Linked DNA regions of Caenorhabditis elegans. The protein of the gene in region 1 purifies or fractionates together with the protein of each later gene. This does not show direct contact. Each region holds a gene or a part of one and is shown in the gene's direction. Other genes may lie near its edges.

The links. The genes of interacting proteins can lie anywhere in the genome.
Region 2: the proteins of alh-3 (region 1) and coq-1 fractionate together in Caenorhabditis elegans (co-fractionation; one large-scale study listed by BioGRID). This does not show direct contact.
Region 3: the proteins of alh-3 (region 1) and ran-5 fractionate together in Caenorhabditis elegans (co-fractionation; one large-scale study listed by BioGRID). This does not show direct contact.

Annotation. Positions count from the first base shown.
Region 1 is NC_003282.8:11,019,552-11,028,330, forward strand, and holds alh-3 (10-formyltetrahydrofolate dehydrogenase), read left to right. Parts: upstream 1-3,051; 5' UTR 3,052-3,053; coding exon 3,054-3,180; intron 3,181-3,311; coding exon 3,312-3,543; intron 3,544-3,589; coding exon 3,590-3,776; intron 3,777-3,827; coding exon 3,828-4,433; intron 4,434-4,477; coding exon 4,478-5,204; intron 5,205-5,286; coding exon 5,287-5,878; intron 5,879-5,928; coding exon 5,929-6,184; 3' UTR 6,185-6,319; downstream 6,320-8,779. Other genes in the region: mogs-1 (Mannosyl-oligosaccharide glucosidase), read right to left, coding at 1-165, 2,099-2,119; F13H10.8 (Small subunit of serine palmitoyltransferase), read left to right, coding at 974-1,069, 1,359-1,505.
Region 2 is NC_003279.8:5,410,657-5,418,005, reverse strand, and holds coq-1 (All trans-polyprenyl-diphosphate synthase PDSS1), read left to right. Parts: upstream 1-2,376; 5' UTR 2,377-2,470; coding exon 2,471-2,514; intron 2,515-2,564; coding exon 2,565-2,661; intron 2,662-2,714; coding exon 2,715-2,828; intron 2,829-2,875; coding exon 2,876-2,952; intron 2,953-3,269; coding exon 3,270-3,361; intron 3,362-3,406; coding exon 3,407-3,510; intron 3,511-3,875; coding exon 3,876-3,986; intron 3,987-4,083; coding exon 4,084-4,219; intron 4,220-4,265; coding exon 4,266-4,409; intron 4,410-4,569; coding exon 4,570-4,751; intron 4,752-4,798; coding exon 4,799-4,879; 3' UTR 4,880-5,165; downstream 5,166-7,349. Other genes in the region: erp-44.1 (Thioredoxin domain-containing protein), read left to right, coding at 1-67, 800-901.
Region 3 is NC_003280.10:6,045,358-6,051,870, forward strand, and holds ran-5 (RanBD1 domain-containing protein), read left to right. Parts: upstream 1-2,751; 5' UTR 2,752-2,753; coding exon 2,754-2,820; intron 2,821-2,869; coding exon 2,870-2,982; intron 2,983-3,031; coding exon 3,032-3,187; intron 3,188-3,235; coding exon 3,236-3,370; intron 3,371-3,417; coding exon 3,418-3,532; intron 3,533-3,578; coding exon 3,579-3,670; intron 3,671-3,719; coding exon 3,720-4,064; 3' UTR 4,065-4,329; downstream 4,330-6,513. Other genes in the region: R12C12.6 (Transmembrane protein 9), read right to left, coding at 1,046-1,143, 1,199-1,542, 2,116-2,255, 2,307-2,510; gldc-1 (Glycine cleavage system P protein), read left to right, coding at 5,083-5,238, 5,634-5,924, 5,972-6,498.

The DNA of each region.
Region 1 (8,779 bases):
AAGAATAAAACATCCAGCACCCAGCATGACCAGTAGAATTAGGATTAAATCCCAAGAGCAAAATGAGCACCATGGTTCTGGCTCAGCGACAGGCTCGTATCGTATAGTTGCTGATGGCCTTTCGACTTCTCTCGGCGGTCGTCGTCGTCTTGATGGTTGGTGCATCTGCAGAATAAAAAAATTATGTTTTTTCTGACACGGAATAAAAAAAAAAGAACAACAAATTGAATTCATTGTTTATACGAATTTCACAAATATTTGTCTGATAAGTTATCAATAGGGCATATTTTCTTTAATTTACTTGGTTTTGCTTACTTTTCACACAGATCTGATTAAAAATTTGTAACCTGATGAACAACATTCTGTTTAAACAAAATGTGATATTCTGTGCCGCTGACACAACACTAGGAGAGAGTACAACGTGGAACAATCTACTTAAACTTCACATAAATTGCCACCGGATTCGCGCAACTCAGAAAAAGTTTCGAAGATTGGATTTTACAAAAAAAAACACTTTAAAAAACGAACATATTAATTTTTAACAGAAAAAAAAACAAAAAAGGCTGATTTTAAATTAATTCTCAAGGGCAGTGCGGTAGAGCGCACATGCTGCTTTCAGTTTTTGTTTATTTTTCGCACCTTTTCTTTTCACGTTTTGTTTGTTTTCGGCGCTTTTTGAGTTATTATTTGCTGAAAGTTCGAGTAATCAAATCGAAAACTATTTTTTGATCCTAGATTTTAGTCGTACTTTAAACTTTTCCGGATACTTTTCGTGTTTTCAATGCATTTCCTGTGTAATCGATGCAACTGTAGAATTTTGTCATTTTCTTATCATTTTTCGCCTGATAGATGGCACCATTTGACGGTGTGTCATCTGCAATCACTGCGAATGTTATACTTTGTTTCCGTTGCTGTCTGCGCGGCAGTTATCGACTTTTTTGACACCAATTCTTGTTTTATTTCAGGTTAAACCATGTCTACGACGGCTACAGCAACCACCACCACAACAAAAGCATTCGAAAATGACTATGGGGATTTCAGCCAGTTCAACAAGGCAAAAACTGTAAAGGTAATTCAATTTTTATATTAATTAACAAATAATTATTTTGTATCTCAATTTTAATTTTGTAATACTAATAAATTATGTAACATAAACTATACAAATACAATTTGTCGTTAATATTTAAAATCAAGTGATTTGACTTAAATGTATTCCATTATTTTCTGTTAAGTTAATTTTAACCCTCTGAAGTCTCTACCGAAAAGGTGATCAGCTATTTTGTGTTTTTTTAATGCTGATTCATTTTTGCTGAGATTTTTTTTTGCTTTAACCTTCCTCTCAATGTAATTATTTCCAGCAAACGTTCGCCGAGCACGTCTATCTTCAATATCTACTAGTCTCTGGAATCTACATGCTTGAGCCTTGGGAGCAGCGTCTCTTCAACTGGGTTATCATCTTTGTGCTCACAACATTCATTTCCCTAATCACCTTCTTTGTCGTCTAATCACTCTTTTTTCTCTCAATGTGTTCTGTTTCCATGTCAACTCCTTTTACTATTTCTGAATACTCAACGTTTTCTGTGAATTTACTTTTCATTCTTCGATTTGTTGAAGATGAATTTAAACGCGGTTATTCTGTATATATCATCTTGCCTCCTCGTTCTCTCAAATAATGGTATTTATCGATTTTCTGTAGTTAAATATTAAACATAACGATGTTGCGTTATCACAAAAGCTTACATGTGTATAGTATAATGACACTGCTGTTGGAAGTGTCATTCAATTATGAACTTCTTTCGACGCTAAATTTTTATACAATTTTTTACAACTAAATACTTTTGGCGAGTTACGAAAATTCTAGATCTTAAATAAAACAAGAACATGCAATTTTGCCTCACAAAACAGCAACAAATTTCGACGACAGTTGGTGAATTTGTTTCTTTCCTGATTTTCTGAACTTTTTGACTCGTTTTTCTTTGATGTTCGATAAGAATGCAACATCAAAGAGTAATTTTCAAATTGCACGAGGTAGAAATCATCGAATTAACCAATTTCATTCCTTTTAAAACGTGATTCTCCAAAAATGTACCAATTTTACCTCTTCATGTTCCCTGTGCATCTAATCTTTGCCGCACGCGAAAAAAAACGCTTTCTGATGTCGTAAACAGTTCGGATGTGGTCAGAATCGCCCATCGAATAATGTTCCTATTGCCACGTGATAACATCATTTCGGCTGAGTGGCGAGAAGTCGAAGATAACAGAAACAGAACGCGTTGTTTATCGGTCATCTCTTCGTTGGCGATCGCAACGCAAAATGGATTTATTTTCAATTGTTTGTCACTGCTTATTTCTAAAGGTTTTAGGTTTTCAATCACCTGAAAACAAAAACTTATTCTATTTTCTATAATTTAAAAAAACTGGTAGAATTTCAAAAAATTAGCAGAAATCCTACGATTTAAAAAAGAGGGGCGCATTTATGCGGAATGGTCTCGCCACGCGTTGCAAATGAATTCAAAAAATGTTGTGTGCGCCTTTAGGATTACTGTAGAGATTTTGCTTCATCGACTTTTCTTGTTTTCTCCATTTTCCTCGTTTTCGAAACATTTATATAGCCTAAAGAACATGAATAGGATACAAAAAATTCAGAAAATGGGTAAAGAAATAGACAAAGACAGCATTCAAAGAATTTTCTGCATTTTATGTGTTCAATTTATGTTTATCACGCAAAATGAACGTTTCGAAAAAGAAAAAACACAGTATATTTACTGAATTGATAAATACAGTTTTTCTTCATACTTTTAAATTTAAAGTTATGGCTCCACGAATTCATAAATTCTAACTGAAATTCATGTTCTGAATAAACCCCCGATATTTAGTTATCTCAAACATTCATAATTAGACCTTTGAACCGTGTTTCTTCTTCTCATCTTGTGAAAAGGTGTGACAGAAAAGCTGGTCAGTCTAGTTTTGTTCATTAATTTTCATTTCCTCGTACGCTCGCACTTCCTTTTCAATATTCATTTCCTATTTTTCAAGTACATTTATTTTCAGCCATGAAAATTGCAATCATTGGTCAGTCGGCATTTGGTGTCGATGTTTACAAGGAGTTACGCAAGAATGGACACGAGATTGTTGTAGTCTTCACTATCCCAGATAAAAATGGAAGAGAAGATCTATTGGGTACGTTTAAAAATAGTTTTATCACACTACTTTCATTTTTGCTGTGGTCTGATTTTTGAACCCAATTCTCTACGAACCACAACTCGTGATCACTTTTAAAAAACATTATAATTTTTGCAATTCGTTTACAGCCGTCGAGGCTGCCAAAGATGGTGTCCCAGTTCAAAAACCATCTCGTTGGCGTAAGAAGAACCCTGAAACTGGAAAATTCGAAACTCTTCCGGAAATGCTTGAACTTTACAAATCGTTTGGAGCTGAACTCAACGTTTTGCCATTCTGCACTCAATTCATCCCACTAGAAATCACTGAAGCGCCGGCTAAGAAGAGCATTATCTATCATCCAAGTATTCTACCAAAGCACAGGTTTTCAGCTGAAAATGTTAATTTACTATAAATTTCAATTTTTCAGGGGAGCTTCTGCCATCAATTGGACTCTTATTGAAGGTGATGAGGAAGCTGGATTATCGATCTTCTGGGCTGATGATGGTCTTGATACTGGACCAATTTTGTTGCAAAAGAAATGCAAAGTTGAAGAGAATGATACATTGAACACTTTATATAAAAGATTCCTGTATCCAGCTGGAGTAGCTGCTGTTGTAAGTCTAGGAGTTGTACAATTCGGAGTATAATTAAATCTAAATTTTTAGGCAGAATCAGTAGAACTCATTGCTACTGGAAAAGCTCCAAGAATTGTACAGCCAGAAGAGGGAGCATCTTATGAACCATATATTACCACAAAACCAGAATTGGCTCAAATAGATTGGTCGAAGACTCAGCGTCAACTTCATAATTTTATTCGTGGAAATGACAAAGTTCCTGGAGCATGGGCTGTTTTGAACGGAGAAAAAGTTTCATTTTTCGGTTCAAAGTTGTGGAAGCCAAAGAAGCTTCCAGATGATGCTGTAGAAGTTTTCGTTTCAGAAGTTCCAGGAGGAAAAGTTTTAGTTGAAGATCGTGGATTGCTCCTTCCAGGATCAGACGGTAGATGGGTTATTGTAGATACAGTGAAGATTGGTACAAAAACTGTCCCAGCTTCTAAATATGGACAGGGAGCTGATCAAGTTCAAGAACTTGTATTAACCGACGAAGAAAAGAGTACTGTAGCTAAGCTGAAGAAAATTTGGACCGGAATTCTGAAGACTCAAGTTTCAAGTGACACTGATTTCTTCGAAAGTGGTGCAAGTTCTGCTGATGTTACTCGTCTTGTGGAGGAGATCAAGTTCAATACTGGAGCTGAGCTTGAATCAGGACAAGTGAGCTTTTATGAAAGTATTCTAAAAATTCAAATGTGTTACAGATCTATGCCGGGCCAACTCTTGGTGAAAACATCGACATTGTGATCCGTAATCTTCGTGGTGAAGGTGGAATCTCTGTAACTTACGATCCAATTGTATTGAATGTTAACAATATGGAATTGAAATTCCCACATGACCAATTCATTGATGGAAAATTTGTTGGTTCATCAGATGGACGCACTTTTAAAACAATTAACCCAGCAACTGAAAAGCCAATTTGTGAACTTCCTTTGGCTACTGTAGCTGATGTCGATCGTGCTGTTCGTGCAGCAAAGAAAGCTTTTGAACGTGGAGAATGGCGTCAAATGTCTGCCCGTGAACGTGGAAAGAGACTTTACAAACTCGCTGAACTCATGGAAGAACACAAAGAAGAGCTCGCAACACTAGAGTCCCTAGATGCTGGAGCAGTATATACGTTGGCTCTAAAGACTCACGTTGGAATGTCTATTGATGTGTGGAGATACTTTGCTGGATGGTGTGATAAGATTCAAGGAAAAACTATTCCAATTTCTAATGCTCGTCCAAATAAGAATCTATGTTTGACACTTCGTGAACCAATTGGAGTTGTTGGACTCATTACTCCATGGAATTATCCATTAATGATGTTATCGTGGAAGATGGCTGCTTGCCTTGCTGCGGGTAACACAGTTGTTCACAAACCAGCTCAAGTAACTCCACTCACAGCTCTTAAATTTGCTGAGCTATCTGTTCTTGCTGGAATCCCACCTGGCAAGTTTTTTTTCAAGTGAATTGTAATTTGTTTTCATATCGAATAAATTTTCAGCAAAAATTAAATTAATTGAAATTTCAGGTGTTATCAATATTGTAACTGGATCTGGATCCCTTGTTGGTAATCGTCTTACTGCTCATCCAGATGTTCGAAAGATTGGATTCACTGGTTCCACTGAAATTGGAGCAACTGTCATGGAATCTTGTGCCAAATCGAATATCAAGAAGGTTTCCCTGGAACTTGGAGGCAAATCCCCACTGATAATTTTCGCAGATGCTGATCTAGAAAAAGCTGTGAAACAAGCGTGTGGAGCAGTTTTCTTCAATAAAGGAGAGAACTGTATTGCTGCTGGGCGTGTTTTTATTGCAAAATCGATTCATGATGATTTCGTGAAGAAGCTTGTCGAGGAAGCTAAACAATATCAAATTGGAGATCCTCTCGATAGATCAACTGCTCACGGTCCACAGAATCATTTAGCACATCTTAATAAGCTAGTCGAGTATGTGGAGAAGGCTGTAGCTGGCGGAGCTAAAGTTGAAGTCGGTGGAAAACGTTTAGAAAGAGAAGGACTCTATTTCCCACCAACGATTCTGTCGAATATTGACGATGAAAACTTTGCTGCAAGTGAAGAATCATTCGGACCAATCATGTGTGTATCCAGTTTTGATGACGAGTAAGAATTATTTTGTATTTAGGAAAAAACTAATTGATATTCATTTCCAGTGACATCGAAGATGTACTCCGTAGAGCCAATGACACAGAATTCGGACTTGCTGCTGGAGTTTTTACCCGTGACTCGTCGAAATCACTTCGTGTTGCTGAAGCTCTTCACGCTGGAACAGTCTTCGTTAATACTTATCAGAAAACTGATGTGGCAGCTCCATTCGGTGGATTCAAGCAATCTGGATTCGGAAAAGATATGGGAGAAGAAGCTTTGAATGAATATCTGGTTACCAAAACAATTACCATTGAGTATTAATTGAGTGATGCCTTTTCTGTGAATAATTAGTTTGTAGTTTTCTTTTTAATATTACTTGAGGGATTTATTTTTAATTTGTGATATGATTTTATTTGCATGTGATATTCCTACTTTTCTATAAAAATTAATGTATTCTTCCAAGTATTACTAAACGCATGTCAGAAGTTTGAAAAGTGAAGTTCTGCATGAAGAATTGAAAACTAAAATTGCAATAATAATATTAGGAATTAATTCTGAACCACCCACGCGCAAAGATTTTGTTTGCTCCCAGAGCCCCAGCTTCATGACCCTACTCGCCGTGCACCTGTACCTGCTTCCATGTTCACTTTTTGACCAGTAACATGGATAGGAGCTACGGGTAGACGGACTTTTCGGACAAGTGAGCAGGCAAATGTTGGTGACACAAAAGTGCACCGGTGGTGTCGAACCTGGGAGTATAAGAATGAAAGGCCCGCACACAACCGAGTACACCATGAGTGCCACCATTGAAGATAGGGTGAAGGGTGTATTAGTGTGCGCGGACGTTCGTCCGTCCCCTTTCCGCGCGTATAATTTTCGAGGGGTCCTCGATTAGTAATAACTCGCATAATGGCCATTTGGTTGCCCGTGGTGTTAGGACGCGATTGGCAACGAACCAACTAACGACGGCACATATCGGGTGGTTAAGAGACACAGACACTTCTTTTCTCTAGATTCACTGCGGTTGAGTTTTTATGAAACGGATGATGCGAAATATTTCTTCAAACTTTCTTCAACTTTCTTCAAACTTTCTTCAAACGGAGGATTATATGAAAATGGAAATTGTAAAATCCTTTTAAAATTAAATGAAAAAACCAAAAACTGACCAAATGTGAAATATGGTGCAAATTGAAAATGTTCGACTTCACACTCCAGAATAAAGGGTTTTGCTTGAATTTACATAGAACAAAAGCATGTAAAATATTCCAAATTTAGTAAGATACATATGGCGATTTGTCAAATCAACCTGACAGTACGACACCGATTGGAAACAAAAGACTTGAGCTTCAAATGAATAGTTATATGGAAATACATTCGCCCAGTAACCTCATTCTAGAATATTCTATCAACAATTTGGTCGTCAAATAGGATGTATGCGGAATATGAGTCTGCACTCTATGATGTCCTTCAAAACAACATAATTTACGCCATGGAGGCTCTTCAGTGTAGTTATAATGTCTTGGATCACAAAATGAATATTGAACTAACTCTAAGTTGTATATAAAACTCAAAATAAATAAATACCCAACCCAACTTTTATTCTCAAATGATATCAAATTTGGTTGTGATAAAGTTAAAAGTCGCTGAAAAACCGAATAACTGACCAATTTTGATGCATCTCTATGCTTTTGTAAACTAGTGAAATGTTTGCAGATTAATGTTATCCTATTTGGGAAACGATATATAATTCTAAAAAGCATTGCTTGATAATTTTCAGAATTAGAAGTGGTCCAAAACATACGGTTGTGAAAGGAAAGAAAAGCTTTCAGTGCCTTTTCAAAACCGAAGTTAAATAACGTTCTTTTGAAATTTTCTATTTGTATTCGAGAAAATATTACAAAAACAACAATCCCGAATGTGTTCCTTCTTTCGCTTAAATTCAATGAGAAATAAGACACGAAAATTCTATAACAACGGTGAAGCCGTTTTATTCAAATTGTTCATATTCTTCATGGAAACGATTTCCTCAGAATCTACCAGTCAATCTCAACGTATATTTCAATCTCAACGTTAAATTGTTTGAGTGATTTTTTAATTTACATGTTTTCTTTTTCAAAAATATTGTCAACCTCTAAAATTTTTAATTTTATTCTTTACAATTTCCTGGAAAACTGAAAAAAATTCCGACTACAATGACTGGCGACCCATATATTGTGCCGTGATTGAGCTTTGAAGTCAAGCACGGAAACAAATGTACGGGTGGACTGTCAGAATCGGGAGAAATTTATAATAATAGAGAGAGAGAGAGAGATAGGAATAATGTAGAGTAACGAGACGAATGATGTCGAGTTGTCCACAACTGCAAACCAAGAGGACGATGAGAAACCGAGACAGCCGTAGGAACATTCTCGACGAACGGAACGAGAGAGCAATGTAGACAAAGATACGCAGAGAATGCCGTTGACCGTCAATGAGAGACTGGCTCTAACTGAAGAGACGTAGATGTGTTGATCCTATTGAGGGGCAGTAGGGATCATGAATGTTAAATATGGAGTATGGAACTGAACCGAGGGACTATCATCAATAAGATTTGACTGGCATAATTAGAATCAAATCTCAATATATCTAGAACAATCCTAATAATCCTAGATGTTAAGTTGTGGAGGGACAACTTGTGAAAGCAATAATCCCATTTCTTCATGGTGACCTCAAAAGTCGCCGACCAAAACGACGTTTTAGTGATTTCTATTGCAATCCAAAATCATTCACCCAAAACCAACAACACGAGAGTAAAGTAGACATAGATCTACGACGGGCTGCCCAGATTGTGAGATTCAAGGGCAATGTATATTGCAGTTGCAAAGGGGCCGGAGAAAACATTTTTATGAAAATGAATATTGGAAACGGAAGAGAATA
Region 2 (7,349 bases), on another chromosome or scaffold:
CGAATTCGTGCTCGATCTGCACAGCGGAAAGCTTCATCGCGAATTCCACCATGGTCCAGATCCAGTGGTAAGTGTCACTTTTTGGGAGTTTTTTGGTTTTTGAAATTTTTATGAAATTTATTGAAAAGTTAGTAAACGAATTTTTTTTTATTATCTGAACCAGACTTTTTTCTATACCACCTTTAAAAAAGTCTCTAAAAATCCTTGAAAAATGTAAAATTACAAATTTCATGAGATTTTCAGGACGGAAAATCCCTCAAATTGGGAATTTTCTATGAAAAAAAAACAAAATAAATGAAGCTTTAACTGAAAATTGAAAAAAAAACTCCGAATTATTAGAAGATTTAAAAAAAATTATGGTTGGGATGATTTTTTCTAAATATTTTTCCCAGACGCGAAATGTTGTGCTTTTTCCGTCAAAAATACGGTAAACGGGTCTCGAAACGACAAATTTTTGTCAAATGTGAAAAGGTATGCGCCTTTAAAGATTACTGTAATTTAAAATTAGTTGCTGCGGTTTTTTATTGATTTTTCTTTTTTTTTCTCGATTTGAAAAAAATTATTAAAAAATTATTGTTATATCTGATTTTTTTTTAAAATAAATTTCCTTTTCTGATCGAAAAGTCAATAAAAAATTCAAGAAAAAATAAATCTTGAAATTACAGTACTCTTTAAAGGCGCGCACCTTTTGTATTTTTCAAAAATTTGCCTTTTCGAGATTCGGTACCGTATTTTTATTGAAAAAATTGCAGTACTTATTTCCAAAGACCATATTTACAATTTTCGTAAGACATTTCAGACTGGAAATCAAGCACCGGACACTGAGCCACCACCGTCTACATTCGAGAAGTTGAAGCCTGCTTCTTCGAGATACACAATTCTTGACAAAACGGAACTTTAATTTCTTTGATTTTTCATTTTTGTTTATAACAGAGCTTTATATCACAATTGCAACATGGCCTTGTTTTGCATTTCTCTGGTGTTCTTTTTTTTTAATTTTCAGTTTTATTCGGTCAATTTTCCATTGGTTTTGGTTTTATTTCTTGGTTTCTACGAGGTCCCCCCACACACAACTATTTAATCCCCGATTTCCACAAAAAACTATACATTACTATGTTATTCCATCGGATTGTTGTTCTTTTGCCAATCAAAATCCATTTCTTTCCTATTCATCTCTCTGAAAGTTTTAGTCAATTCCTGTCTGTGATGCGCGGTTTTATTCTTCGTTTTCCCATGTCTCTATCCCTGTCTTTTTTTTGTTTTTAGATTCAATTTTATTTCAAAAATTTTTTGAATCTTAAATTCAAAAACAATCAACAATGTTAACAGAAACGAATGAATATATTTATTCTTTCTATTTCTTCAATAACCTTTTTGTTTTGGCGGTTAAATGGATTCAATCCGATTCATCTACTTGTCAAAGGTGATTGACCAAATTTTTCACAAATATTTTTATTTGTTCCTTTTGAAAATTATCTATCGATCTTCTTTATTCTCGATAAACTCGAACCAAAGAGAGAAAGAAACAAAATTTGATAAAAAATATATTCTTTTTTGCTAGAGAAAAGAGAATTCAAAGAACACTGAGATAGGGACGAAGTGCGTAAGAAAGAGAGAGCACAGAGAAAAAGAGAAGCGATCTTCGGCGGTGAAAAGGGGAAAAGTGGGAGGCTACATTCATTTTCCATCTTTCTGATCACCTTTATACAACAACTAATTTATTTTTATTTTTCCGAATAAACTGTATTCGGAGAGACTTCTGTGAATCTCTAGTTGAAAATAATGATTCTCTAATATTTAAAGTATTTAACAATATTTAAAAATGGACGTATGGTTTTCAGATAACATACTATAAATAAGAGATAAATTGGTGATATAAATGCCAATTGATGCAATAATTAGTGAAAATGGTCGAAAACTGTAAAATCTTGAGAAGTACACTGGTTGCTTGAATCAATCAGTGTATATAAAATTGAATTCAATTCAAAATTTGGCAAATAAAAAAAATATAAAAACTAGTTCCTGGTTTCTATATTTTCTTTTCTAATCCAAAAAATTATTTACCAATCTAACATTGAAAAAAAATCAGAGATATTATTAAAATAAAGTTCCTCTCAAAATTACTCCAAAATTTTCATTGGCATTTTCAAAGTGTTTAGGCTATAATAATATAATTTATTCAAAATTCTCGGTTATAACTATACTCCTTTTTACTTTTAATCACGTCAATCACATCTTTAATGCGAATTTCAATTATCAGCTGTTTCCTCTCCTGAATGGACAGTTATATCTGTTATCAATGACTCTTTTGGCATTCTCAGAAGCCTCAATTTGCATCATTCACTTTTCAAAAAACTTATCTTCATTCACTTTCAGACCTCCTAAACCCACATGAGCCGCCGGTGAAACTAGTTTTTGAGCACTGAAAGAAACAAAAACTGGTATAAAGAATCAAGAATAGAAGATAATTATGGGTGTTCTACCGAAAATCAATATTGTCGCAAGGCAGTTCAGGTAACAACTTTTGAAATTTTAAATTTCCGAAATTCAAAAAAAAATTGCAGAAAATGTTCAATGGCAGCCACATCAACATCTACATCCTCATCAGATAATAGTGTTGCTTCAACAGCTTTCGTGCAGGAACATGTTAGACAAATGCAGGTTTATAATTCACTAAATTCAATAAAAGTTTAACCAAAAAACTGAAATTTCAGAACGATATAATGGTACAACTAATACCACAGGATGAATCGGGTGCCGTTGAAAATCTAGCAGACTTGAATGTTACATCGAATTTAGGACGAATGACACATTATTATTTTCAACAGGTTTCTAAAAATATATTTTTCCAACTCATAGACATTGAAAATTTCAGGGTGGAAAAATGTTACGGCCGACTGTATCGCTTCTTATGGGAAATGCTTGTAATTCCGCAGCGAATCGTTCAATTTCGTAAGTTTATTACATGGAAAACTTTTTATATCTGAAAAAGAAGAGCAGTCTGATTTACGTAGATAGTGCACAGGAGAAAATGATTTTGCTATTTTTGGCATAACTTCATATTGATGAAAATGAAACTAATTTTAAAATATTCCTATGGTGCTGAAATGACTACATACCATGAACTTTTCAAAACAATTTTCAATTTAACTTTTCACATGTCGTAGTACAATTCTAACAGTAGTTAGTCTAATGGAGTTTGGCAGCCCGTATTGATGTTCACTAATAAAATGTTTACTGATCAAAAACGAAAAAAAGTTTTTTTGCAGAGAAGAGTACCTGGCAATGTTGTCAACAGAACGATCAGGGATCGCCGCTCATTTATCAGTATGTCAAAATCAGTACAAAATAGGAATGATTGGTAAGACTATGAATAGTCGGAAAAGAGAAATAAAGAAATTTACAGCCGAAATGATCCATACAGCGTCTCTAGTGCACGATGACGTCATTGATGAGGCGAATACAAGGCGTGGATCAGCTAGTGTCAATGCTGTTTGGGGAAATAAAATGGTAGATTTTTTGAAATTAAAACAAAATTTTAATCTTGAATATAACATATCACGATCTATAAAAAATAAAGAATTTTCAAAACAAATTGGATACTGTAATCCGACAAATTTATTCTTTTTTTGCTGAATTTTCCAAAATTTTCAGCTTTTAAAGCAGCTTTCTCTGCAAAAAAATTATTTTTAGATTTTAGAAATGTTGATTAAAACTATATTTTTTGGAGAAAAACTGTGAAAACCTGGCAAACAGAAAAATCGAAAATTTGGTCGCTCTACAGTAACCTCTTGCGCATAAATTTTTCTCTTGTAAACTTAGAAGAAGTTTTTAGGGATAAAAACTTCTAAATTTATGTTAAAAAACATTTTCAGTCAGTGCTCGTCGGAGATTTCATTCTTGCTCGTGCCACGCAGATTCTTTGCTCCATCGGAAAACCCAACATCATTTCAGTTATGGCGTCGATTATTGAAGATTTGGTTTTAGTAGGTTTTAATCAATTTATTTATTTATTTATAATGAAATTTGAATATTTATACAGCTATAAATTTTCAAATTTTCTTCTAATAAATAATATTTTAGGGTGAATTTATGCAAATGTCAACAACTCCAACAGATGCTACACCAGTAGACAGAATGAAGGCTTATATAGAAAAAACTCATCGAAAAACTGCCAGTTTGTTCGCCAGTAGTTGCCGGTCTGCTGCTATTCTTGCAGGTGGTTTTTGCATCAATTTTCTTTGCAACATATCGGCCTTTTTCAGATGGATCAGATTTGAAGCTTCATGAAATTGCGTTCGAGTACGGTCGAAATTTGGGAATCGCTTTCCAACTTGCTGACGATCTTCTTGATTTTATAGCGACTGCTGATGAAATGGGAAAACCTGTGGCCGCTGATTTGAAATTAGGTGAATGGAATTACCGATATTTCGTAAAAATTTGGCACTTCATTTTAAATGGTTTTCTGAGTGGGTCTCGCCACGAGTTTTTTTGAGAAGAAAACGAATAATATAGTTTCAAGTTTTTGCAAAAGAAGAAAAAATAATTTTCAAATTTTTTATATTTTAGGTCTCGCCACTGCTCCGGTACTATACGCTTGCGAGCAATATCCTGAGCTCAATACGATGCTTCTTCGAAAATTCAAGCATGATGGAGATGCTGAAAAAGCACGGGAAATTGTTGTAAATTCGGATGGAATGGATAAAACGCGAAGATTGATTGATTCATATTCACAAAAAGCTGTTGAAATGGTAATTTTTTAAACTGAAACATAGAAAAAAAAAATTAAACTTTTCAGGCTTCATCCCTCCCCAACCGCAATGAATCTACGGAACATTTAATCAAATTAGCCATGTCACAGTCGGATCGAAAATTCTAAATTTTTGCTGAAAAAATTGTTTCCCTTCTTGTTTTTCATATTTCTCTGTAGCTGTAGGATTGTCGTAAAACCAGTTTTTAAACCACTTTCTGGTTTCTGGCACTCTTTTGTTTTTTTTTGTTTTTTCTATGCATTTTCGTCCGTTTTTTTGTATTCCTGTAGTTCTCATTTAGTTGCCGTCTTTTTTGTTGTTTTTTTACAGTCAGTTTTTTTAAGATTCAGTCAATTTCATCAGTAGAAAATTATTGAAATTTTTAGATTTATGAAAATGAATTCCTTTTTTTTTAAATACGGTAACTTTTAGTTGTTGTCAGGGTGGCTCAGGCGAGGGAGAATGAGAATATAAGAGACACTCTGACCTCTGCGTGAAGTTGAAAATATTTTTCAGCGCATTTTTTCCCTCGTTTTCGGTCAAAGAACGCATAAAAAAGAGAGAAATTAGAGAGTTCTCATAGCAGAGAGATTTAGAACAATTCCTTTTTTGCCGCCGCCGCTCCTCTCTGTTGACCACCCAACCAACCAAAAACGGAGCACTCGCCATTAGAAATCGTTGAAAAGTGAGAGAGCTTAGATGAAACGACGCTCCGCCCGTTTTAGCCATTCTTGTGTGAAAGAAAGGCATTTTTTCTTGCTAAGAATTTTTTTTCGTTCTTATGTTTCTTCATCGCCCTAATTTTCTTGAAAATGAGTTATGCGAAAAATTCGAATTATAATTTTTTTTTCTTCAGTTTCTGCGATCTGCAAAATATTGACGGCTTCAACACAATAAATCCACAGTTCACCGTGAGTTTTGAACTTTCGAAAAAAAACCTGTCAATAAACTGAAAAATCTATTCCTCACTTTTCTAGTCATATTTCCCTTTTCTAATGAAAATTGCCTGGTATATTGCTAACTCTTCACTCTCAAAGTATTTTTTCTCGATTTCAAATCAAATTTGTTATTCTCTGTCATGCCCTTCCTCTTTTCTCTAGCTTCCACGTCTTCTACTCATCTTAAAAAGTGGCTTTGACTCTTTTGACAAAGAGTATTTGAAAAAAAAAGAGAAGGATGACCGTCAAAGGTCATTTTGAGGGACACGAAAGCGGTTAAAAGACGAAACAAAATGCGAAACGAATTGAAATACGCTCCTTTCTTTATATTGGGTTCTTGAGAGCTGAATAAAAAATATAAATGTTTTTGTGTACAGTTTTTCAAACAGAATTCGGAAATTCAAACAGAAATTGGGTTCCTAAAATTATGGAAAGCTTTCTTTCGAAAGTTAATTCTATTCTCATTCGAAAGAATCAATATTTACCGTAATATCACTTAAAGGTACACATGGAATTATTCTAATGGGTCTCGACGCGAAAGTGGTTTATGGTAGAACTTTTTTGCTTTCGAATTCGAAACAAATTTCTTTGTTCTAATCGCTTTTTTCCTTGATTTTTGTTAAGATTGTCAGTATTTTTAGAATTATATTTCAAAATTATTTTTTTTTATTCAATTCCCTCGCCAATACGTCCTTATTTTTTATTCCAATCCAGTAATTGCCTCGTTTCCCTCAACTTGCTCCCAACTCAATCCATATAATATTCTCGCAATTCCTTCTAAAGGCTTCTAAGCATTTTCATTTCCATCTGCTGTCCAGATGTTCCCCGACCCAACTCTCCCTCATTCTGCGTCTCCTCGTTCTTCACAATCTCCAGTTCAGCTTTTCGCGCCGAAATTCAAATTTTGACGGGTCAAAACGAGCAGAACAGATTCATTTTTGAAATCCTAACATTTTGTTAGCGCTCCATTTAATTTTTATGACTATATAATATAAAAAAGAAGGGTAGATAGCTTATTTTTGCGGATTATTATTTTGAAGCGAACGAGCTCCTTTTATGATGCCTGCCCCCCGCCGTCTTCTGCCCTATTTTTCATATTTTGCAATACTAAATTCCGTCAGTTTATCACTAGGTTCCCACAATCTTTTAAAAAATAATATTTACGAATTTCCTTTGGCGTCACATAGACATTTTCAAATCTACGCAATTTCCGATGACTGATTTCCTGAAAAATGTTGCGTTTTTACAGCTTTACGTAAATAGTCTAGTATTTTTTTCAAATTTCCTATTAAAAAACAAAATTGAGTTATAAAACATTGTACCACTGCAATTTGTGTTCATTTTCTCTCAATTGATAGAGATAAACATCACTTAATACCACCTGATTTCTCAATTTGTGTGTGTAAACAACTGAGAAAAGAGAAACCCGCCTAGCTGTAGGGCAATAAAAATAAAAAAAAGTCATTTGCCTCAGTAGCCGACACTTATTTTTGCTGTTGCAATGAAAACTTTCAATGTCAGATCCAATTTAAGATTGTTTTGTCTTCTCATTCAACTAATTAGTACTGATTGCTTTGAATTCCTTTATTTCTTGATTAGAATACAATTTCTAGCGTCCTTTTTCTTTTATATTTTCAAATCCATCACTAAAAACAGATCT
Region 3 (6,513 bases), on another chromosome or scaffold:
ATTGTATGAAATAGAGACTCTAAAGTAAATAACTTGTTTTTATGAGAGTGAAATGAAAGTAAATAACAAAGAAACGGTGAGATAATTTTTTCGCAAAAATAATTTTAAATCAGCTTACTGTAATTCCCGATTTTACGCGTTTTGAAAGAGGGGCATTTATGCGAAATGGTCTCGGCACGCGCACCAAATAAAATGTAAAAGTCAACAAATAAATGGGTGCGCCGTTAAATAAGATTACTGTAGAGATTTCTTCCTTACATTTAAATTGATTTTTACTTTTTTTTCCCAATTGTTTTGCATTTAATATATTCGATTTGTGTTTGCATATCAGACACAATAAATGCTGAACATAAAGAAAATGAAAAAATCAAAGAAAATAATCAATATCTCTACAGTAATCTTAAATGCGCGCACGCAAAATGTTTCAACTTGATTCGATTCCGAGACCATTATGCACTAATGCGCTCTCCTTTAAACACAGGAAAGTGTAAAATAAAATACGTTGAGCATATTCGAACTGATTTCTAAGTGGAAAAATAGTTTCGTAACTTCAGGGTTACTCATCGGAGACCAGAAACAACGACATTATGCTAATTCCGAAAAATGCCCTTCAAACTGTAGAATGTTCTTTGGCTAATTTTTGAGTCATAATTTTACGAGATTTATAAGTTTTCAGGTGTATGGTTTTTTTTTTTAATTTATTCGCTGTTTTTCGACAAGGTGATCTGAAAATTGAAAAAAAAAAGAAAACGAAAAGAGGGAAAATGTGGGCACTTGCCGAGAATCTCCTCATCTCTCTCACTTCTTCCGCCGCGGCGGGTCGCTCACAACAAACAGCGAGTCAGGGACATAAGAAAGAGATTAGAGACGCAGACGTCACTATTTCGCTTTGACCCCTCCGTTATTTAACTGTCATTGTTTAACAGGTAATGAGAAAAGTGTTTATGAAGGTGAAAAATTGTTGGCAAAGTATTTGACAAAAATATACATCATACGGTTTTAATAAATTATGAATGATTTTTAAACCCTTTTGATTGAAAAGTAACTAGTTGAGCATTGTATGATCTTCGAAGATATTCCTTCGTTGCTCCTCGACCTTCTTCATCCAACGATTCTGTTCGGCCTCGACGCGTCCGAGAACATCTGAAGAAAATACTTTTTTAGTAAAAACTATAAAATCTTCAAATGGAGCACTTACTACTTCTCGCACGTGTGGTTCCTTGTGTATCCATTGAATTACTTGCTGAAGATGATTCATCGTCAGTTGATGGAGCAGCAGCAAAGATATTATCCTCCATTTCATCATTATGTTGTTGATAACTGATCGATAATCGTTTCTTCCGGAGCATTGGATCCAGGCACATAAGGAATACCATGTATCCCGTTAAAACAGCGATCACACAGATTACAAATATTACAACTACTTTTAAGAGCACAGTGTTTCGTGACTCATAACGGCAGTCGCAATTTGCAAGAAATGCATCCATATGGGTCTCGTCAACGAAGTTACTGACTTGATCTTTCACAATGTTGCTTGGCTTGCTGAAATGTTTGAAAAATTATATTTCTTTGTCGAATTTAAGGTTTATTTGTGTAAATGATGAATTTGAGCTGTTGAAAAAAATTAAAAAAATAAGTGTTGAAAATGTTTTAAAACTGATCAACATGTTTTTTTGATGAAATGGAAGGAAAATAAAGACTTAGAAATTCGAGATTTCATGGTTATGATTTATTTTTATTCGAATTTTTACAACGATGTAGATTCTCAGCAATAGAAAATAAAAATAATTGTTTTTCTAAATCATATTTGTGGTTTTCTGAAAGAGAAAAAATTAAAACTGTGACTAAAGTTCCCACAAAAATTTCTCAAATTTTAACGTTTATAAAACAGTCGGAAACGTTCAAATTTCGATGAAAAAAAGAAATTCAAATTTGCAATTGCTTTGAGCGAAATAATACCATAAAGGTGGGAGAATTTCATAACTCTGCCAAGTTATTTTTGATGTGGATTTTTAGCAAAAAATATCAGAGTGACTAGGAGATATTTACATATTCGGATTTGATATTTTATATTTTCTATTAAAACAATTCAGATTTAAAATTAAAAAAACTCACCAATGGCTCGGTTCGATGTTAGTTTTTGTATAAAATCGTCTCCTCAATCCTTCTGTTTTTTCAGTTGTATTTTCAGCCAAGTCGAGAAATTTTAAAAGACTCGGACAAATGCATCGACATCGTGTATCTTCGAAGTTAGCCTGAAAATATTTATTAAATTATATCTTTATAAAAGTAGTTATGAAACAAACCTCAGTCCCTGCTTGGGATAATGCGGGAAGAAACAGTAAAGCAATAAATAAATATATCATTAAATCTGAAAAAATTACGGAAGTTGGACTGTATTTTTTTTTATTTTTGCAAGAAAATAAAAAATGCTCTGAAAAATAGAATACAAGTAAAACAAGAAGTGCGCCAGTGCAACTTACTGGCGCTTTTCGCGATGGCTGACGCATTCTTCGTTTCACTTTTATGATGTTCACAACGAAAATCGAAGAAATAAAAACTTGCACTTATTTTTGTCTTAAATTTCAATTTTTCTTCTGCTTGTTGAGTAATTTTTCAGTTCTCAGTCTAAATTACTTGCTAATTATCTTCATTTCAGTCTGCATGAATACTAATAATCGATTTTTCGCATTTTTTTTGCAATTTCTATCCGGTATTTGTCTTTTTTAATTCATTCGTTACTATTTTCAGTCATGTCAAAAGGTTTTGCTTTCAAACCGTCTGCTTTAGCTGCCAAGGCAGATAAACTGTGGTCAGATAGTAAGTTTTCAATTTTGTGTTATGTTATCTAAGTCACGTGAATTTGCAGGCAAAACAGAATACACAGCAACTCATTCAACAATCAACCACGTTCATTTGGAAAAGAAATCGCTGGGCGATATTATTCCGAAATCAGCAGATGCGCCTGTTGCAAATGAAAAAGTTCGTTGAAACACAATGAGTCAAAAAATTCGTTTTCTTCTAATTATAGGAAGTCGAAGAGGCTCCACAAGCATTTGTTTTTGGCTCCAAAATATCAGATCGTGTTGTGAACAAAGAAGGTGATTCAACAAAGCCGGGTGGTTCAGACGAAAAGACCATGACAGCAACTGAGCTCTTCCAAAATGCAGTTAAAAAAGATGACGATGTAATCTATATTTCGAATCAATATTTCTATTCATAATGTTAATTTCAGAAAAATGGAGCCAAAAACTTCAGAAAGGAAGCTGAACAAGAAGCGGAGAGAGCAAAGGAAGCCGAAAAGCAGCATGCCGGAACGAGTTCAGTCGAAATCACCACCGGGGAAGAGAACGATACTAATATTTTCCAAGTGAGGCAGTATTCATTAAAACATAATTTTTATTTATTTGTCTTTAGGCTCCTTGCAAAATTTGGGCGTTTGATAAATTGAAAAATGCCTACTCTGAAAAGGGTGTCTGCAATCTCAGGATCAACAAACGAGTCGAGAACGGACTGACGCACCACCGAATTGGTAAATACTGATAGTTAGAGTTTATTGTATTCAAAATTATTTTCAGTGGCAAGAACATCTTCCGGTACTCTTCGTGTCATCATAAATTCCAAAATTTTCTCTGATATGCTTTTGGAGCGGGTCGACAAGAGAATTCGAGTGAGCTTTAATGTTATATGAATATATGTTTTATTGTTACTGTTTACAGATTTCCGCAATGGGACCAGAGATCAGCGGTGTTCAGATTTTCCTTCTAAAAATCGGATTCACCAAAACTGAGACGATCCCCGATTCGGATATATTCTACAATATTATGAGCGACCTGCTGAAATTGGAGAAGGGAGAGAATAGTCGGAAGAGGAAAGCGGATTGTGATCTGAACGCTTCAACTGTTAAAATCAAGGATGGAAAGGAAGAAGAAGAAGGTGATCAAGATCAAGTTGATGAAGGATTTGTCATTGTAAACAAGCCAACAGAAGATGAGGTGAAAGAAGAAAAACCAGCTGTTACAGCTGCCGAAGAATCTGCATCCAGCTCAACTCCTTCCGAATAACCATATCAGTCATTGCTTCTTTCAACTTCCCCTGTGCTCTTTTTTCTCCTTCCAATCCCCACAAAAATGGTCTCCAACTTTCACCCAACTCAAATCATTTCCCCTTAAGTCTAATTTCTTTATTGCTAAAAATTTCTTCTAGATTTCTACCAATCTGGCCTAACTTTCCAATTTCGTTTTATTCTTATATATCCCGTTTTATGTGTTTGTCGAATATATTTGGTTTGTGAAAAAGAGAAGAGTTTGCAATAAAAAGCAGAAATACAATCAAGAAGACACTTAGACAATGGCGTTTCGGTTATCAGTGGCGCTCTTACTGAAGGAGGAGGAGAGCGAGATAACGATCGTTGTGGGGTGATCGATTCAGAATTCAATTGGCAACACCATGATCATTTATCACCTTGTCAATTCTGTAGCATTGTTTCAGTAGGAGAAGATTTTTTTGTAGTTAAATATCAATTTTGAGTATAACAAACGCGATTTTTGCACCTAAAATACGGTAGCCGGTCTCGTCACGACAATTTTTAATACTTAAAAAAAAATTGTATCAATTTATTTATAAACTCTAAAATAACACCGAAACACTTCAATTTTTATAAATCTAGAGGAAAAATCGATTCCGCATCAATGAGAGTTTGAAGTTACAGTACTCCTTAAAGGTGCACACACCTTCTTGCATTTAATAAAAAGTTGTCGCGTTGAGACCCGGTACCGGTTTTTTGGCGTCTTTGTAATAAACCCCTTTGAATTTAGTTTTGAAGTTTAAACTTTGAAGTTCAAAGTTTGAAATTATCCCATAATATCTAACCACGCGTCGGGCGTTTAATATCATAAAATCAAAAGTCGAATTTTTTTTATCTTATCAACAATTGGAGTACACGTGTACCCACGATATTTCTCGATTTGTACTATTTTAAATATTTTTTCTCGGAATAAATTCTCTTTGCCTGCCATTTCTACATTCTTGTTTCATTTCATTTTACTACTCGTGAATCTAGAACCTTCACTCATCTCCAAAATGGTTCTCCTTGGACGAGGATTACTTGCCGTCGGGCGTGTTGCTTTTCGACGTCCGATGATTGTACGACACCTTCAATATGATGCTTTTGTTGATAGACATATTGGACCAAGACGATTGGAGCAGCAACAAATGCTCGATTTTATTGGATACAAAGTTCGTGGCTTGATTTTCCATTACTAATGGTATACACAGTTATTACGCAGCTGCAGAAGTTTACGATTTTTTACGCTGACATACGGTCTCGTCACGATCGGAAGTTTTTCTACCGTATCCGCGAGTATTTCGCAATTTTATAATGATCCGAATATTTTCAGGTTTTTGATTGAAAACACGTTAAAATCGAGCAAAACTTTAATTACTTCAGAAAAACTTTGCTAAATACTTTTTGATACGGTAGCTAAAAAGTTTCGACCATGTCGAGACCGGGGACCATATGTCCCGCAAAAATAATTTGCGATGTTGGCATTGTATCTCCTATTTTGTTTAATGCATTTTCTGAAGTTAGAAACGCCTGAGAATTCTGTCTCATAATAACCTTGAAATTACAGGATCTAGATGATCTCACCGGAACCAATGTGCCAAATATGATCAAAGCAGAGAAGGCTCTAGAGCTTCCAGCACCACTTGACGAATACAAGATGCTCAAAGAGTTGGAAGCAATTGCAGCACAGAACAAGATTTATAGATCTTATATTGGAATGGGATATTATGATACAATTGTGCCAGCTGTCATTTCTCGTAATATCCTTCAAAATATTGGATGGATCTCCCAGTATACTCCATACCAAGCAGAAATCTCACAGGGAAGACTTGAGTCTCTTTTAAACTTCCAGACTATGGTAAGGCATGGTTTGATGCCTATGAGTCTAATATATTATGTTTGAAGATTGCTGAAATGACTGGTCTCCCAACAACCAATGCATCTCTTTTGGATGAAGCCACAGCTTCTGCAGAAGCAGTTGCACTGGCTGCTAGAACTACAAAGAGAAACAAAATTGTCGTTGACTCATTCTGTCATCCACAAAATCTTGATGTAATCAGAACTCGTAGTGGACCACTTGGAATAGATATTGAAGTTTCTGATTCAATTGAAGGATATGCGTTTGATGATAAAGTAGCTGCTGTAGTTGTTCAATATCCGAATACTGAAGGAAGAATTCATCAATTCGACGAGTTGATCGAAAGTGCTCACAAGAATAAGTCATTGGTGATAATGGTGTGCGACTTGCTCTCGTTAACGATTCTCCGATCACCAGGAGATCTTGGTGCAGATATTGCTGTTGGATCGGCTCAACGATTTGGAGTTCCATTGGGTTATGGAGGACCACACGCTGGATTTATGGCTGTCGCTAAGCATGATGCGAAGAATGCATTGGGAAGAAATATTCCAGGAAGAATCATTGGAGTTACTAAGTAAGTGGTAACCAA